4 linked regions of the Saccharomyces cerevisiae S288C genome follow. Changing the gene in region 1 together with any one later gene gives a genetic interaction. Each region holds a gene or a part of one and is shown on either strand. Other genes may lie near its edges.

The links.
Region 2: of NDT80 (region 1) and HOP2, a mutation in one rescues a mutant of the other (synthetic rescue), as found in Saccharomyces cerevisiae (one study listed by BioGRID).
Region 3: mutations in NDT80 (region 1) and LCB4 together harm fitness more than expected from each alone (negative genetic interaction), as found in Saccharomyces cerevisiae (2 studies listed by BioGRID).
Region 4: of NDT80 (region 1) and CST9, changing one enhances a phenotype caused by changing the other (phenotypic enhancement), as found in Saccharomyces cerevisiae (2 studies listed by BioGRID).

What each region holds. Positions count from the first base shown.
Region 1 is NC_001140.6:354,957-359,342, reverse strand, and holds NDT80 (transcription factor NDT80), read right to left. Parts: upstream 2,783-4,386; coding exon 899-2,782; downstream 1-898. Other genes in the region: YHR125W (uncharacterized protein), read right to left, coding at 180-485; EPT1 (bifunctional diacylglycerol cholinephosphotransferase/ethanolaminephosphotransferase), read right to left, coding at 3,262-4,386. UniProt on the Saccharomyces cerevisiae protein: Transcription factor required for successful completion of meiosis and spore formation. Gets activated after completion of meiotic recombination at the end of prophase I.
Region 2 is NC_001139.9:433,674-437,001, reverse strand, and holds HOP2 (Hop2p), read right to left. Parts: upstream 1,378-3,328; coding exon 1,323-1,377; intron 1,253-1,322; coding exon 690-1,252; intron 628-689; coding exon 601-627; downstream 1-600. Other genes in the region: AGA2 (Aga2p), read left to right, coding at 169-432. UniProt on the Saccharomyces cerevisiae protein: Required for proper homologous chromosome pairing and efficient cross-over and intragenic recombination during meiosis. Stimulates DMC1-dependent homologous strand assimilation required for the resolution of meiotic double-strand breaks.
Region 3 is NC_001147.6:651,510-656,031, reverse strand, and holds LCB4 (sphinganine kinase LCB4), read left to right. Parts: upstream 1-2,147; coding exon 2,148-4,022; downstream 4,023-4,522. Other genes in the region: YRM1 (Yrm1p), read right to left, coding at 1-1,822; GLN4 (glutamine--tRNA ligase), read right to left, coding at 4,300-4,522.
Region 4 is NC_001144.5:906,070-909,965, forward strand, and holds CST9 (SUMO ligase CST9), read left to right. Parts: upstream 1-1,880; coding exon 1,881-3,329; downstream 3,330-3,896. Other genes in the region: ART10 (Art10p), read right to left, coding at 1-236; ATP10 (Atp10p), read left to right, coding at 1,010-1,849; COX8 (cytochrome c oxidase subunit VIII), read right to left, coding at 3,660-3,896. UniProt on the Saccharomyces cerevisiae protein: Component of the synapsis initiation complex (SIC) necessary for the synaptonemal complex assembly. Stabilizes the ZIP2 component to the chromosomes.

The sequences.
Region 1 (4,386 bases):
TTGGGATTTCGTTGTTGTGAAAGGTTATAATATTAGGTTTTCAAAAATATATTAAAAGCCACCCTCGAAGATACAATAATTCCAAAAAGGGTATCGATACTTTTACACAATATTATTCTATTACACTACTAGTCCTTGCGTTTCAGCTTCCTTTATTTTTGATGACTTTTTTTCAATCTTTACGTAATGTTCTTACACACCATGTGATAATACACTACTAATGTGACTACTAGTTGACGGATGATGATGTTCCTTATTACAGCAGTGTCAAGCCAAATGCATACATCGTATATTAATGTGCGCCACGTTTGACGTTTAAGTGTCACTGTGCTATTATAGAATAAAGAAAATGTTAGCGAGTATTTCATACAGTACTGAAGCCGAATTGAAGATAATTGAACGTTGCTGTGATAATTATTCATAGAAATATTACAGAGGATCGTATTAAATGTTTGGCAACTACCAATCATTATTGCATTGATCATAATCAATAATGAATGACAAATATAAGATGGGGAAGAAGTAATGATAATATTATGTAGAAATATCGATTCCCTTTTGTGAACTTCAAGATCTCCGAAGAGAACTTCTAGTATACTCTGTATACATAATATTGTAACATTGATTAACAATTGAATCTCAAAATTATCAAATTATTCACCCAATCTTCATTATTCACCAAATATTCCCAACTATCAGTAGTTCTTCTGGCAACTAATAAAATACTTAACCTATTCTATGTAGATATGAAGGGAACTGATAACAAATAGTAAGCGGATTTAGCTCAGTTGGGAGAGCGCCAGACTGAAGAAAAAACTTCGGTCAAGTTATCTGGAGGTCCTGTGTTCGATCCACAGAATTCGCATATTTTTTTAACGATTTAAAATCATTAGTTTATTTAATACTTATAGAAACTATCTTCCTCAAACAATTCTTCCCTATTAAATATACCAGATGGTAGAGTACCGCTTGCAATCAACTTGACCCCTTTCGAATATACCCTATCTGCATTTTCTGCATCCATTTTTTGATAATAATTTTGAAACGAACCTGTTTCTAATATTCTTGAAAATGTCCTTGGCACATCCTCTTCCGTAGCTGGGAAAAGTGCAGTTTCCAAGTGAAAATTTTCTGCTGAGTTAGGTAGTATAGAGAAAGAAATATTTGAAAGGGAGAGTTCGTTACCATAGCTTGTTTTGCATTCAGAACGTGAGCCTATCTCTGGTCTTAGATAATTCTGTTCCATTGATTTCTTCTCTATTGTTATATCATAATTTTCATGAGGTAATTCATTGATTTTTTTGAATGCTAATGAGCCTACTTTGAAAATATTCTCATGTTCAAAAGAGCGTGCCGGTTTCAGTTCGATTTGCTTCATATTAACAGAAAAACTACTTGAGTAAACTAAATCCTCCTTTTCTAAACACCCTTCCATACCTCTTGAAGATGAACTCGGATATTTCAGAGAGGAATCTGGACATTGATTTTTCAAAGCACCCAGTTTGTTCTGGATATGTTCAAGAGTCTCCACCCTTTTATTTGGCCTGAAGAACGGATCCTCATTTTCCTTCGAAGCTTCCATTGGTGTGGATTGACGAGATTTGATAGGCGAGATGGAGGCCCCAGAGTTCGGTGCACCTAGCGCCACTTTGGATCGCCTTTTCGAAGGTCTTGCATTTAAGCAACTTTCATTTAACGGCTGCGCCATTGATGGCATTTTTCTTTTTGTGCTGTTTTGTGAGGAATTGACACTCGACGGTGTTCTCACAGTTATTCGCTGAGATGACGCATAGTTAGAAGGTGATCTTCCTCTAATAATAAGAGGAGGCGTTTTCATTTCTTGCAAATACACAAACATCCCTTTTGATCCATTTTTTAAAGCCAGTTCATCATAAGGAATTCCGGGATTCTCCCCATGAAAGGTATCTGGATCTACCACTGCACCTAAAATTACATGCAAGCTAAAGTGTTTATTTTGTTGGGATGGTTTCTTCACGCTAATTGATGAAGCAAATTGAACTCTTTCATAACGGGCAACTTTCTGAATAGAATCTTCTGGATAGGAAAACAATAAAGAGTCCACTCCATATTCTTCATAATTAACGTGGTCTCTGTGCAAATAAAAAGTGGAATCGTATTTTTTCATTTTAGTGATATTTCGAACATTTGAAGCTTCTCTTATGATTTGATGTTTTGGCAAAGGGGAAGGCACCAACGGACATACTGAAGGACAAAATTGAGGACCTTTGTCGCGTTTCGCTGTATGCTGGACGAGATTGATTTCCGTGTCGTCGTCGTCATTCTTAGCTTTTATTTTGATAGCGAAATATTGCACTCTTAATCTGCTTTCTACTGAAGAGTCTTCAACGAGAAGATCAAAACTGCTCTTTAAAAAAGTATCCAAATCACAATTTGCCGTTTCAAACGTTGATACTAAGGTAAAATAATTTCTTTTATAACCTACCCACTCTTCATCAATATGGTCGAACCCTCTGTCAATTCTTGGAATAATTCGTAAATCTAGTGTTCTTCCGGTATGAGACTCAACGACTGGACAATAATCTCTCACTAATTCAAATGGAGGTCCCACTTTGAACTGTAGTGTTGATCTAGGGGCAATTTTTAGTTTCCTTTTGTCGAAATAATTCGAAGTGGTGCCATCTTCATTCAACTGCGTAAGGATAACAGGCGTATCCTCTTCCTGTTCTGTGCTTAATTCCCTCTCATATTTGGATACGAGATCATCCTGTAATACTGGATCTGTGTTTTCCATTTCATTCATTTTAAGCGCTTTTTATAATATTGTTATTTCTCTTTAATGAAAGGTTAGTAAACTTTCAATTTTTTGCTTAAATAGGTGACACAAAATGGAGGGCAATTATAAGGGACCTTGGCTTTTCGAAACAAAAGACAACCGTTCTGGAGCTTTGTCAGAGAGCTGGGCGGTTGTATAGAGGACAGGCCTCGAGATATTTGAGATCTCGTTTTCTACTCTTTTGTGTCATACGGCCTGGCCGATTTTCTGACACTTTGCCCTCCAAGCCGCACCTGAAGCAGAAAACGTCAAATAGCCGCGGAAGTAACAATGTAAAGTCACATATACAGTAATAGGAATGAAACACTATGTATATTCAAGGACCTTTATAGTTCTATAATATAACGCTATCTATTACACAAACTTGAGATTGAAAATCTCACAGGGCGATAGATTCATTGTTGTGCCTTGTTTTCGAATAAAAAAAAGTAGATACAAAGTGCGATTTATGTCAGCTTGGAGCGCTTGATGGATAAAGCATAAACGTCCAGGTACTCAGTAAATTCATGGATAATGTCATTCATAAACATAATGTGAACACCTAGTGAGAGACCGAACCCAAGCCAAGATAGGGCAAAGACGATTTTATTAGACTCAATTCCCCAAAGGGATAGACATATTTTGTACAATACTATCTGGCACAAAGGAATTAACATGGGTGCATTGAACATGGGAAAGCTCTGCTTAGTTAAATGGCAAACGATTATTCTTCCGACGGTAAATGCTCCCGTGAAACCAACGGAAAGGATGAAAGAGAGTGTAATAAAGCTTGGTTGCATCCACACTAGTAAAGCAATGCTTGCATAATAGGCAAAAAAGGGCAAAAGACCTTTTATAGCACTATCTTGCTCAATTTGCGTGATATTGTTGGCCGAAGAAGTGCTGTTTCTATAATACTTATCCACGTTTCTTTTCGCAGACAATGCGTTCATAACCAAACCGAAAACAGCTAGGGAAAAAACAATATCTAGAGTGTCTACATCAATTACCTTATCACCAACTGTAATTGTAAATAAGTAGGTATGCCAGATTACCTGTTTTCCGTATATACCTGTCAGTATCAATGAAACGCAAACAATCAGGATGCCTTCCACGGGTCCAGAAAACTCACTTAAGTATAATGTGTGTGTATGGTACTCTTCCCAAGTACTTAAGTAAAAATTCGTCAGCATCGCAAATTGGGATAACATTAAGTTATACGAAAATCCCATTCCAGTTTCGGATGCGAAGATGAAAATAGACAGAGTAGAATTAATGGCATCAATACTATGATCGAATAGTTCTCCTAAGGGTCCTGATTGATTGATACGGCGAGCGTGTACACCATCACATCCATCGAACGTTTGATATAGGAATACACCTAAAGCGTAAGAAAAATATGTCCAGCGAGGCGTATCTGTGTTAAGGTTTGGATCGTAATAGAATACAGTCAACACGTTGATAACTATAAAAGCAAATCCTGATAATGTGATGATGTTGGGCGCCATCCACGTGGGAAATATGTGACAAAATCTTTGCCAAAATGGCTTTAAGAAATACTTCGATACCAGCGAGCGGTCTTCACTTTGATA
Region 2 (3,328 bases), on another chromosome or scaffold:
TATCAGGCAATTGATTTCCCTTGTAAATATACAATATAAATAGTTGTAAGAAGAGGTGATATGTTAAGTTTCCATTTTGACGTATTCCTCATTCTAGAATGATTGTAAGCTCTCAACAGTCACTTGTGTGCCAAAATATTATACCTACTTCATACATTTTCAATTAAGATGCAGTTACTTCGCTGTTTTTCAATATTTTCTGTTATTGCTTCAGTTTTAGCACAGGAACTGACAACTATATGCGAGCAAATCCCCTCACCAACTTTAGAATCGACGCCGTACTCTTTGTCAACGACTACTATTTTGGCCAACGGGAAGGCAATGCAAGGAGTTTTTGAATATTACAAATCAGTAACGTTTGTCAGTAATTGCGGTTCTCACCCCTCAACAACTAGCAAAGGCAGCCCCATAAACACACAGTATGTTTTTTGAGCCTTCCCCCCCAAGTTTCCATTTCATCGTTCGTGACACTTATAAACTAGTGTAAGATTATTTACCTATATATAATTTGATAATAATAGCAAAGAATAAGAAAAAAAAACAATCATGATAAGTAAAATAGCAAGTGTTCCGGTACGGAACAACCAATTGCTTTTCACATCAAATGTCCTCAAATCCAATTTCTTCCTGTAAAGATTTCGTTAGTATATTCAAAAGAAAAGGTCTCGAAAAATGTTCAAAATACATACCAAAAATTCATTCATATTTTTCGGGCACACTGAGTCCTTTATTGTAGCAATTAGGTTTTTGCAAATCTTTGATCTCTTCGTGATTTCTTTTTGTAGCAGCGTATCTTCAGACATTATCCGCTTGACAATCTCATCATTTGCTGGATCCCAATCATCCTGTAGACTTTGTAATTTTGATTCAATCTTTTTCAACTCGTTTTCTTCGTTTTCAATGATTGTTAGGAGATCTTCATTTTCAGGTTCTTTAGTTACAGAGTCAAGAGCGTCTTTGGCCGTTGATTTATCTCTCTCTAGTTCTATTAAATCATTTCTCAGTTGCAATACAGTTTCAAAATCAAACTGAGAAGGATCAATATTGCTTGGTAATGCTGTATCTTGTTCATTACAAGAGTAAATTATAATCTTTCCGAAGGTTTTAGACACTATGCGTTTCTCGTTAACGAGATTTTCTAATGCTTTGGTTGCTGTTGTTTTTGTCACTTTATTGTGCAAATTCTGAACTATATCATTTACAGAAAATGGTTTATATTGTGACACCAAGTAATCTTCTATTAATTGTTCAGCTGATAAAATACCCGGGGTACAATTGTTAGTAATGGCGGTATTTGATGAGCATGTAAAAAAATACTTAACCTTCTGAGCCTTTTGCCTGAATGGCTCTATCGTTTGATTTCTTTTTCGGTGCCATATCTTTCAAATAGAGCCTGGTCAGTTCACGTTAGCTTTATTATTAATATTTGTTAGAAACAACTCTTAAAACGCTTCTCTTTTTCGGTCGCGTAAAAGGATAATATTATTAATGGAAAATTTAGCCGCCGAGGACATAATCTTTTGAATCTTCATAAAAAAGCAACTGTAAGCAATGTAAAGTCCAAAACTTTACCATTTTTTGTTTGATCTTGCATGAGAATACCGGGTGAGCCTAACATGAAAAAGATAGCTAGCCACTATTGTAAAAATGTGATAAAGGATACGAGACTCAAATTCACTTGGATAACTATCTAGCAGGTTTTGAGTCAGCCATATTAGGTTACATACCGGTCCAAACCTATATAGAGCCATTGTACGATCCGACTACAAGTTATTTATATGGAAATTAACAGATTGTTTGGAGTCACCGTACGCAGCTCACATAGATAGCTTATTGTGCAAAATATAATTAAATAAAGATGCAAGATGGATGATAACAAGAATTATAAGCAAAGGATTATTGATGTTCCGAATAATTCAATTCACTATATAACAGGTGTTGGGTATATGTATGTGATCTACCTGGTACGTGTAATTTAAAAAATAAAATAATTGGGAAAACTACGGAATTACGTTTGCGCATTGCGTCCGAAGATCAGCACCTCAGATAAAAAATCAACTTTCGCCGTGGTAGACTTCGAGATACTCTGCTAATAGCGATGCTCGATATTACTACCAATGTATGTGAAGGTTTTGATTGTATTCAATCCTTTTTCAGATAATTTACCCTTGCTTTAAGCTGCGTATATCAAGTGCATTTGCTGTCTGCTGATGTCAATTAATTGTATCAATTGGCCAGCTTCGGATAACGAACGATTATCGCGCGAGTGAAATAGACTGGGTCGACCCTTTTGAATTATCACGGCATCGCAATATCTTTGGAGCAGTACAACATTTACTTTTCTTGACCAATCCTAAGAGTTTGTATACATTTTTTGTAAACTGTAGTACGGCGTTAGAGTCAAGAAGTAGCTTATTATATCCTGTGCACAAATTTCAAAGTTTTTGCCGCCATCATATGGCTGAAAGAGGGCAGCAAATTCCATCTCGTTATTTTTGCATATCAACGCAAGCGTTACACAAGATATGGTTAGAAGCAACGAGCAGAAATTCATTACAATGACAGAAATTAATTGCCGTTGCAACATTGTTTTGCCTCTATCGCGTGTGTTTCCTTGAAGGCAGTGTATCACTGAATGTCATCAGTAATGTTACCAAGAATGAACATCCTCCAAATACTCATAGAAACCCGTTTAAAATTCGGGAATTGATGACTTCCTTATGGTAGGCAAGTGTGATTTACAGACTTTCCATGCGATGAACCCCTATTTTAATCGTATGGATCACCAGATCAAGAATTGGCAGTTCTGTCCCATTATTAGAATAGCGAGAAAACGGATGCTTTCATAATTTTTGATTGTTGCTTCATCCTATTTCACCCTATTTAATAGCCTTCTGTAGAAATATCGTGTATGGTTCCTTTATCATTGCTTAGCATAGCTGCCACTAACCTACATTAATCGACTTTTTCCCGGAAAATTAGCGGGTAATCGATTTTTCTAGATGGCATTGTGGAGGAAAGTAAGTGCGTGGGGTGTGTAAGTTGCCGTACAATGCAGTATAACCAGTAGGACTGGAAGGTAGTCAGTACAGTAAGACTAGAAGTTAGCGAGCCAGCACGTTTCCTTCGCGCCGGTTTTTTTTTTTATTTTTTATTTAATTTTTTTCAAAACTTGACGTGTAGAAGATTGACGTCTGGGGTTGGCCCCATGAATTTTTTATCTATTTCTTCCCTGTGCCTAATTCGTAATATCTCCACTGATAGCGTAAAAAAGCGCTTTATTTTTCCGAAAGTTGTGATGGCATTCCATACAGTTTATAGGATGGTA
Region 3 (4,522 bases), on another chromosome or scaffold:
TGACTTCTTGATCTTTGATGTTGGATGATAGATAATAGCCCTTCTCAAAAAGAGTTAACTTATGATACAAAAACGCACAAAAGCCAGTAGAGGCCCTAGGAAAAAGGAAATTTGTGTATACTAAAGACAAGGCCATAAATGGCGGTAAATGAACGCAATTATGATCAAAAAACTCAGGAAAATGCTTCTCATCTAGGTTAAAACACAGTATGGTCGTATTGATGACAAGGGAAAAAGAGACCAAAATGGTTTGCAGGATGTTGTTCTCTAAAACAACGCTTTTTTCCTTGTAAATCAAATACCTCAAGGAATAAAACGTCAACAACAAATTCAAAACCTGCGCAAGCACTTTAATCTCGCACAAAGGAACTTTAGATATTAACTCACTGTCAGTGTAATATGATATTGGGTGGAATTCAGTCTCTACAAAGTTTCTTAGTTTTTTACAATTTTCGGCTAAGTCTGGAAATGCGCTTCTATCATAAATTTGATCTAGCATTGGTCGAGCTAATCTTAAAAACCTTTTAAGCTTGCCCATGCAGGAATTTGACTGATCGAAAAAAACCGTCGATGAATAATTGTTTGTATTTTTAGGCAACCTCTCACCATTCTCGCATTCATCGACTTGAAAATAGGATGAGTTAATCGCCAAACATCTCCCAATATTTAAAGAAACATTGAAATCTGATAATATAATCCAAACCCACAAATTTTCCAAACTTTCCATACTCCCCACAATATTTTCTTGATTTTTGTATATTTCTCTTATATTCAAGTGTAAACCCAGCATAATTGCCGTGCTGCATAATAAGTCAACTAGACTAATCATATGCGAATCGTCTCCACACGCCCAAATTAGTTCTCGATGATAGTATTTCAATAAGAGAAATTGAGCGCGTTCAATGAAATATACTTTAGCTGTTGACAGTCCCGTCAGCATGATGAGAAATTTCTCTATCTCTTCCGGAGTATTTTTGTAGAAATGGCGAATACACAGTATCATCAAAATAACTCCAATCTTATAATAGTTTTTCTTTGTCGATGGTAATAACTTTTCAATCCGCCTTTCACCGTTGGGTAACAGTTCGTCACTTGGAAGAAACGAGGAAGTGAAATCGTTTATTATTTTGGTTTTATCTAATACTTCACTAACTTCATTAGTTTCCAGTTCAGTATTGAAAAAGTCTGTTATAATCTTTGACGATTGTTCAAAAGATGGCAAAACGTTACAAACCTGTTGCAAGATGTCAGAGCCTGTCTTTTCTAACGGCGGTCCCTCTAGGAGTTGAGTTTCTGGCTTCATTGTCCATTTATGCCTAGCCTTCCATCTGTTTCTCTCGATTTTCACTTTGGACCAGAGCTGATTATACGTGTTTACAAACCGATTATCATCGTTTGAGAGATGCGTTCTCAAAGATGTAGGACCATATACTATTCTTCTTCCCGAGCCTTTACATTGTAAATAGTAAAAATTAGCGTAAGGGTTCCTAAATGGGCTCGTACTAAGCGCTACATCCTTCTCCGTCAACTCTTTGTCATCTAGTCTTTTCTCTAAATCCTCAATCCTTTTCAACAGTTCAATGTTCGGAGTACTGCCAAATAACTCTTTTGTTTCTATTTTGTGGGTGAATTTCTCTGTATACAGGCAACCAGAACGACCCCTCGTCTTACAAGTTGAGCACATTGGCTTCTGCTGGTCGCAACGTAATTTCCTTTTCCTACAAAAAGCGCATGACTTTATTGGTTTCCGTCTCTTCTGCGCCTTCTTTACAGTTTCCTCCGATGGGGAAGCTCTATCCTGTAAACTACCCCGCTTACTCATTAACAACTCCCTTTACCAGGACCATTCAATGTGCTTTCCCCTCTGACTTTCTATACTCTTGCCGTTATTATTACAATACCACCTGGCATTTGTCATTTTATCGCCTTGTAAACCATGGGTGTCACCCTACTGCCGAGCCTGAAAAAAACGTGCTGCAAGGGTCTTGAAGCAAAAAGATGATTTAACGGAAGAAAGGCATACAAGAAGGTGAAAATTCGTGTTTAACCCATCTGATACTTTCCCTTGTCTAACGTACTGATCCTGGAGGTTATCAAGAACACAAAAGTCTAGCAGCGAAAAGTACGCGAAGAATCTACTATAGATAATGGTGGTGCAGAAAAAACTTAGGGCTATCTTGACCGATGAAGGTGTATTGATCAAATCGCAATCACACCATATGTTCAATAAGCATGGTCAACTCAGAAGCGGAGATTCTTTATCCTTGTTGAGCTGCTTGTCCTGTCTGGATGATGGAACTTTGAGCTCTGATGGAGGTTCTTTTGATGAGGATGATTCCCTGGAACTGTTGCCTCTTAATACTACCATTCCGTTCAACAGAATTTTGAACGCAAAATATGTGAATGTCGGTCAGAAAGGCTTCAATAATGGCAAAATTTCTTCGAATCCTTTTCAAACGGAAAATCTGAGTTCTTCGTCTGAAAATGACGACGTTGAGAATCATAGTTTGAGCAATGATAAGGCTCCTGTAAGCGAATCACAGTCATTTCCCAAAAAAGACAAGTGGGATACAAAAACGAACACTGTGAAGGTGTCTCCCGATGATTCACAGGATAACTCACCATCTTTAGGGATAAAAGATAATCAACAGTTAATTGAGTTAACTTTTGCTGTACCCAAGGGCCATGATGTTATACCACAAAAATTAACCTTGTTAATAGATCACGTTTCTAGGAAATCGAGAGCAAATACCGGAGAGGAGAACATTTCTTCTGGTACTGTGGAAGAAATCCTGGAAAAAAGTTATGAAAATTCCAAGAGAAACAGATCGATATTAGTCATTATTAATCCCCACGGTGGTAAAGGTACTGCTAAAAATTTATTCCTGACAAAAGCAAGGCCAATACTAGTGGAAAGTGGCTGCAAAATAGAAATTGCATACACAAAATATGCCCGTCACGCCATCGATATTGCCAAAGATTTAGATATCAGCAAATACGATACCATTGCATGTGCCTCGGGTGATGGTATTCCATACGAAGTAATTAATGGGCTTTATAGAAGACCCGACAGAGTGGATGCGTTCAATAAACTAGCCGTAACTCAGCTACCTTGCGGTTCAGGAAATGCTATGAGCATTTCATGTCATTGGACAAATAACCCATCGTACGCCGCTCTGTGCCTTGTCAAATCCATTGAAACAAGAATAGACTTAATGTGTTGTTCCCAACCTTCTTATATGAACGAATGGCCAAGATTATCCTTTTTGAGTCAGACGTACGGCGTTATTGCAGAATCTGATATTAACACTGAATTCATCAGATGGATGGGTCCCGTTAGGTTTAATTTGGGTGTAGCATTCAACATTATCCAAGGTAAGAAATATCCCTGCGAAGTTTTCGTCAAATATGCTGCCAAATCTAAAAAGGAATTAAAAGTTCATTTCTTAGAAAATAAAGATAAAAACAAAGGATGTTTAACCTTCGAACCAAATCCTAGCCCAAACTCTTCGCCGGATTTACTATCTAAAAACAATATCAACAACAGTACAAAAGATGAACTTTCACCGAATTTTCTCAACGAGGACAACTTTAAATTAAAGTATCCGATGACGGAACCAGTACCTAGAGACTGGGAGAAAATGGATTCAGAGCTAACTGATAACTTAACAATCTTTTACACAGGGAAAATGCCGTATATTGCTAAGGACACCAAATTTTTTCCCGCTGCTTTACCAGCGGATGGTACCATTGATTTAGTCATAACGGATGCAAGAATCCCAGTGACAAGAATGACACCAATTTTATTATCCTTGGATAAAGGTTCTCATGTATTAGAGCCAGAAGTTATTCACTCAAAAATATTGGCTTATAAGATTATACCAAAAGTGGAGTCAGGTTTATTTTCAGTGGATGGTGAAAAGTTTCCTTTGGAACCCTTGCAAGTGGAAATAATGCCCATGTTATGCAAGACGTTGCTAAGGAATGGTAGATATATCGATACAGAGTTTGAATCCATGTAGATTAACGTTATATTTTCCTTCAAAAATGATTTTTTTGTAAAAAGAAATACTACATCGAAAAGAAAAGGCGATATAATGTTTCTATCATCGGAGTATGGTTTATATTCCATTTTTGTTTTCATTATAATTATACATCCCCAGTTATATATCATTAATACGTAACAATATTATGAGTTGGTCTTTATTATCTAATATAATTAAAAAATTTACACTATTACATCATTTTCAACCAATAGGATATATATATAAATATATACATATATGCACATTAAATCATTCACTTGGAAGTTGCGTCCTTCAAGCTAACTATTCTATTCAAAATAACCTTAGAAGTCGTACTCTCTTTATCCAGAGTGAAATAACCTACTCTCATAGCTTGGAATCTACACACTTCTTTGGAATCCTTATCTTCTTCAACATAAAATTCCGAGTTTTTAACAGAATCAACGACCCATGGACTGTTCTTGACAACGTCCCCGAAGTTATGTTCCATGACAGAT
Region 4 (3,896 bases), on another chromosome or scaffold:
AATGTATGAAAGGATTTGTTGTCTTGGCCCGGCATCATCATGCCATTCTGTTGAAACATGTACTCTTGATCAATTTTTGTTAAGGTCTCTGAGAATCCTTTTAGAATGACGGAAATTTTCCTTATAGATAGCGCTTTTGTTAACTGAAGACTAACTATCCCTGACATTTGATCATTAGAGCTATAAAACTCCCCGTTGTACGGTGGGTTTAAGGATATTGAAATTTTTGGAGCCATGGTTTGACAAACTGTATGGTTCTCAACCTTCTCTAATCAAAAGCAGAATCTTAAATATAAACACTCACAGAATATCCGTTGGTCAATGAAGTAATTCTCCTTTGTACTGGCTGCTTTTTCTCCTCTAGTTTATGTAATTCTACTTTTGGATGGGTGCGACTGCTTTTAATTGATTGAGTGGCGGTGTTAGAAGGGCTGTAGAGTCGAAGGCTTGTTTCTCTCTTACGCACCTCTTGTGAAAAGGGCGTGCACCTTCCCCAGGACCCTCTCTCACCCTCAACCCGCATTTTGCTGAGAATTTTCACCAAGGCCCTAGGTGATATTAGATTCCACCTGACTAATTGCATTACAGCCGACCCAAGGCAATATCAGTTTAATAAAATATCATGTATCTCACCCTCTTCTTGGTATTAGTAAAGAGACGCCTGATCTTGTAACAGTGGTGAAGATTGTACTAGAGCAGAATCAAGAATTTAAAAAGTGTAAAGGCAAGGCAGAGGCGATGTACATAAAACTTCGAAGTAAGAAATATTTAATAGTTCTCGCCACATCACTATGCAGCTATATAAAAACTACTATAAACGTTTGTTTTGTTCCTTACGCACAATATCCTTGCCTAGAAATCGTTTTTGAAATTTAAATTTTTATTACCATTTATTTGATTCGCCTTCAGAAAAATATGGAAGAGTGCATATTTAAAAAGGACTATTTCAGCATATAGTAAAAGTCAGGTTATTTGTTTATTTGCGATATCAGAGTAACTTAAACTAACTATGCAGGGCACTTTTAAAAGGTTTTACCATCCCACGCTTACGCGGATGTCCTTCTTGGATAAATTCCTCAAGCCTATGATGGCAACGGCTTCCCCAAAGGAATACCAGATCAAACAACTGGTCAAGCCAATAGGCTTAACACAAGCACCAAGGAAAAGCACCAAATACTCCCAGGGGAACTCTTTGAGGGATATGTTTGATTCGGAAAAGACAAACCACAGAGTTAAAGAGTTGGCCGTTGAATTCAGCAAATCTGGACTTTATGACGTGCAAGTCTTCCAAAAGACAAAGGGGAAATTGTTTATAGCTCCAGTTTCATATTGGAAAGAAGATAAAGCTTTGTTTTTTCCTCATTTGATAGGAACGGCAATGGATGGTACGAAACAACAGAATATCGAGGATATGTTAAGGGGTAAAACCAGTATAGTGAGGTTATTTAGTACAGCATCTGGCGATAAGTTGAGTAGTTCATACTTCCAAGGAATCGTAGACGATAACAAAAAAACTGACTACTTGACTGAAGCTGATGCGCGTTTAAGTTTAAATGACAGTAACGTCCAAATCATCGAGGTCAATCTTGTAGAAAACGCTGTGAAAAGTGCTCTAGTGAAAACGCTTGCTCGTTGGGCCAATCGCGTTCCATCCTGGCGCCAGCCATTTTATTTCGAATGTTCTAGAGGCCAATGGCCATTTTCCGTCAGGGAAGAGCTCTTTTGCAATAATGTCTTTTCTGGATACGTCTTTCTTGTGGACCAGCAGTTAAAAATTAGGTGGGCAGCTTGCGGGGAGGCTACTCCATCTGAAAAGGAAGCATTGTGGAAGTTTGCCAAACGTCTGTGAAGTTGACGCTTTGTGCGGCGGCCAACAAGGGATGGGCGGCTATTTGGCGATCGTGTTCATTCCCCAAACTAACACGAAGAGCATGAGAGAGAAAAAACAAAAGTGCTTGAAACAGGTAAGACGTTTATCATTGATATCACCAAAGAAATATATAATGCCGGATTCTATTTTTGAACAGCCCTTTGTTTACTGTGGTGTTTGCCACAGAAGAACATCGCATGGAGATCCATTGAGGCTGACCTCATGTGCTCATATCCTCTGTTCGCAGCATTCTCCATTAACATCAAAGGTGTGTCCTATATGCCGTTCGAGCGATATCTCCATCATTAACCTTGTGGAATCTAAACAGCTGCCTACCGACATTAGGATTTTTTTTGAGCCACTGCCCCCACTTTTGGAGTCGTTATATAATGTTTCCCAATTCCAACTGAATGGGCTTTCGAAACAGTGTCAATACTATCAAAATCATTGTTTAAAGTTGAGAGAAAAATGTGCAAGACAACAGCAGCTGCTATATCAGGCCAAAATAGAGTTGGATTCTATGGCGATTCTTAAGAAAAGAATACAGGAATTAGAGTCAGTTTTGAATCATAACAATGTTTCTTCGATGTCAGTTGGTGTGCTACCAACAAGAAATAGCCATCAAAATCATTACCAGCCCCCTCCAACCGTTGATCTGACAGTTGATGATAATAGTTTAGAAGAATTCGAAGCCAAATCCTTTATTAAAAAGTTGAAAAAAAACTCTTCTTTGAGAAATTCTTCAAAAAATAACAATGGAACTGTCACTCCCTCTACAAGTGGTCGTGTAAATAAAAACCAGCCTCTCTTTATGGAGACATTGAATAATCCTAATAGAAATAGCATTCCTCCTCCTGGAATGAACCCAAACGCAAATAGTAATCTACCTAATATTTCGACTATTGCAGAATCAACCAATCTGAACAGATTTTCGTTCTCTCCTGTGCGTGTTGCAAAAGGCTTCGATGGAAAGTTGCCAAATCTTGACATCCTCACGAATAATGGCTCTGTATCTTCCAAAAATATATCAAGATTATCTTCAGCTTCTCTCCAACCCTCTTCGCCTCTATCTTCATCATCAAATAGGCTTATTTTACCAAATAGTAACCTCAAAGAATTGCATCATTCAAATACACCTTTAACAAGTACCTCGACGCAGTTTCCCTCAGCTTTAGAAAAATTAAAAATAACAAGGAAGAGAAATAATACTATCAGCGGTTCGAATAGAATAACACACAACTTGAGCTCACACGTAAGAAGCAGTGGTCTTGCCTTTTCATCTTCATCGAACTCATTGCAACAAAGTAAACTGCCGAAATCAAATATACTAAAGCGGTCCAATTCAACTCAGCAACTGACTAATACACATTTGAAGAGTGATAATCATCTGCCACCTCGCTCAAGTAATACTGTGTTGGGTAGTAGCAAGAAAAACAATAAGTTTAGAAGGATTAGGTAAATAGGTGTAAGGATTCCCCGTGACGAAAACAGCCTTCAGAATAGATAGAGTATGTTACTGTATTATAAAAGTTATTCTATTTTCTTATGTGTTACTATATATGGTATTATTTTAGAAGAAATTTGTCGAATTATGTTCTTCTTAGATCCTTCTTTCCCGCCGTCTCAATACGAAGGCACAAGGAGAGGATTATGAATATATGAAAAGAAAATTGTACAAATAAATAAAACGATGATATGCGCACCTAGGAATAGCAAAGAACACACTCTAAAACGTCTCAACCAAGCACGCTATGTACACACATCTATCCTTCAAACTTATGGGGGTGTTTTAAAAAGCACCTGACTTTTTCAATTGAACATAGCAGGCAACAAATGGAACAGCAAATCCAATAGCGAAGAACCCGAAATGAGATAAGGCGTAAGGTGTCTTTCTTCCTTTGACTTTGAATGGGATATTTTCATACACACCGTCTTTGAAGTGTACTGACCTCTTCATGATAATAGGTCTGGTCATGATATTGCTACTTCTCTTAGCTGTCGTTCTAATCATCTGTTGGCACAACAT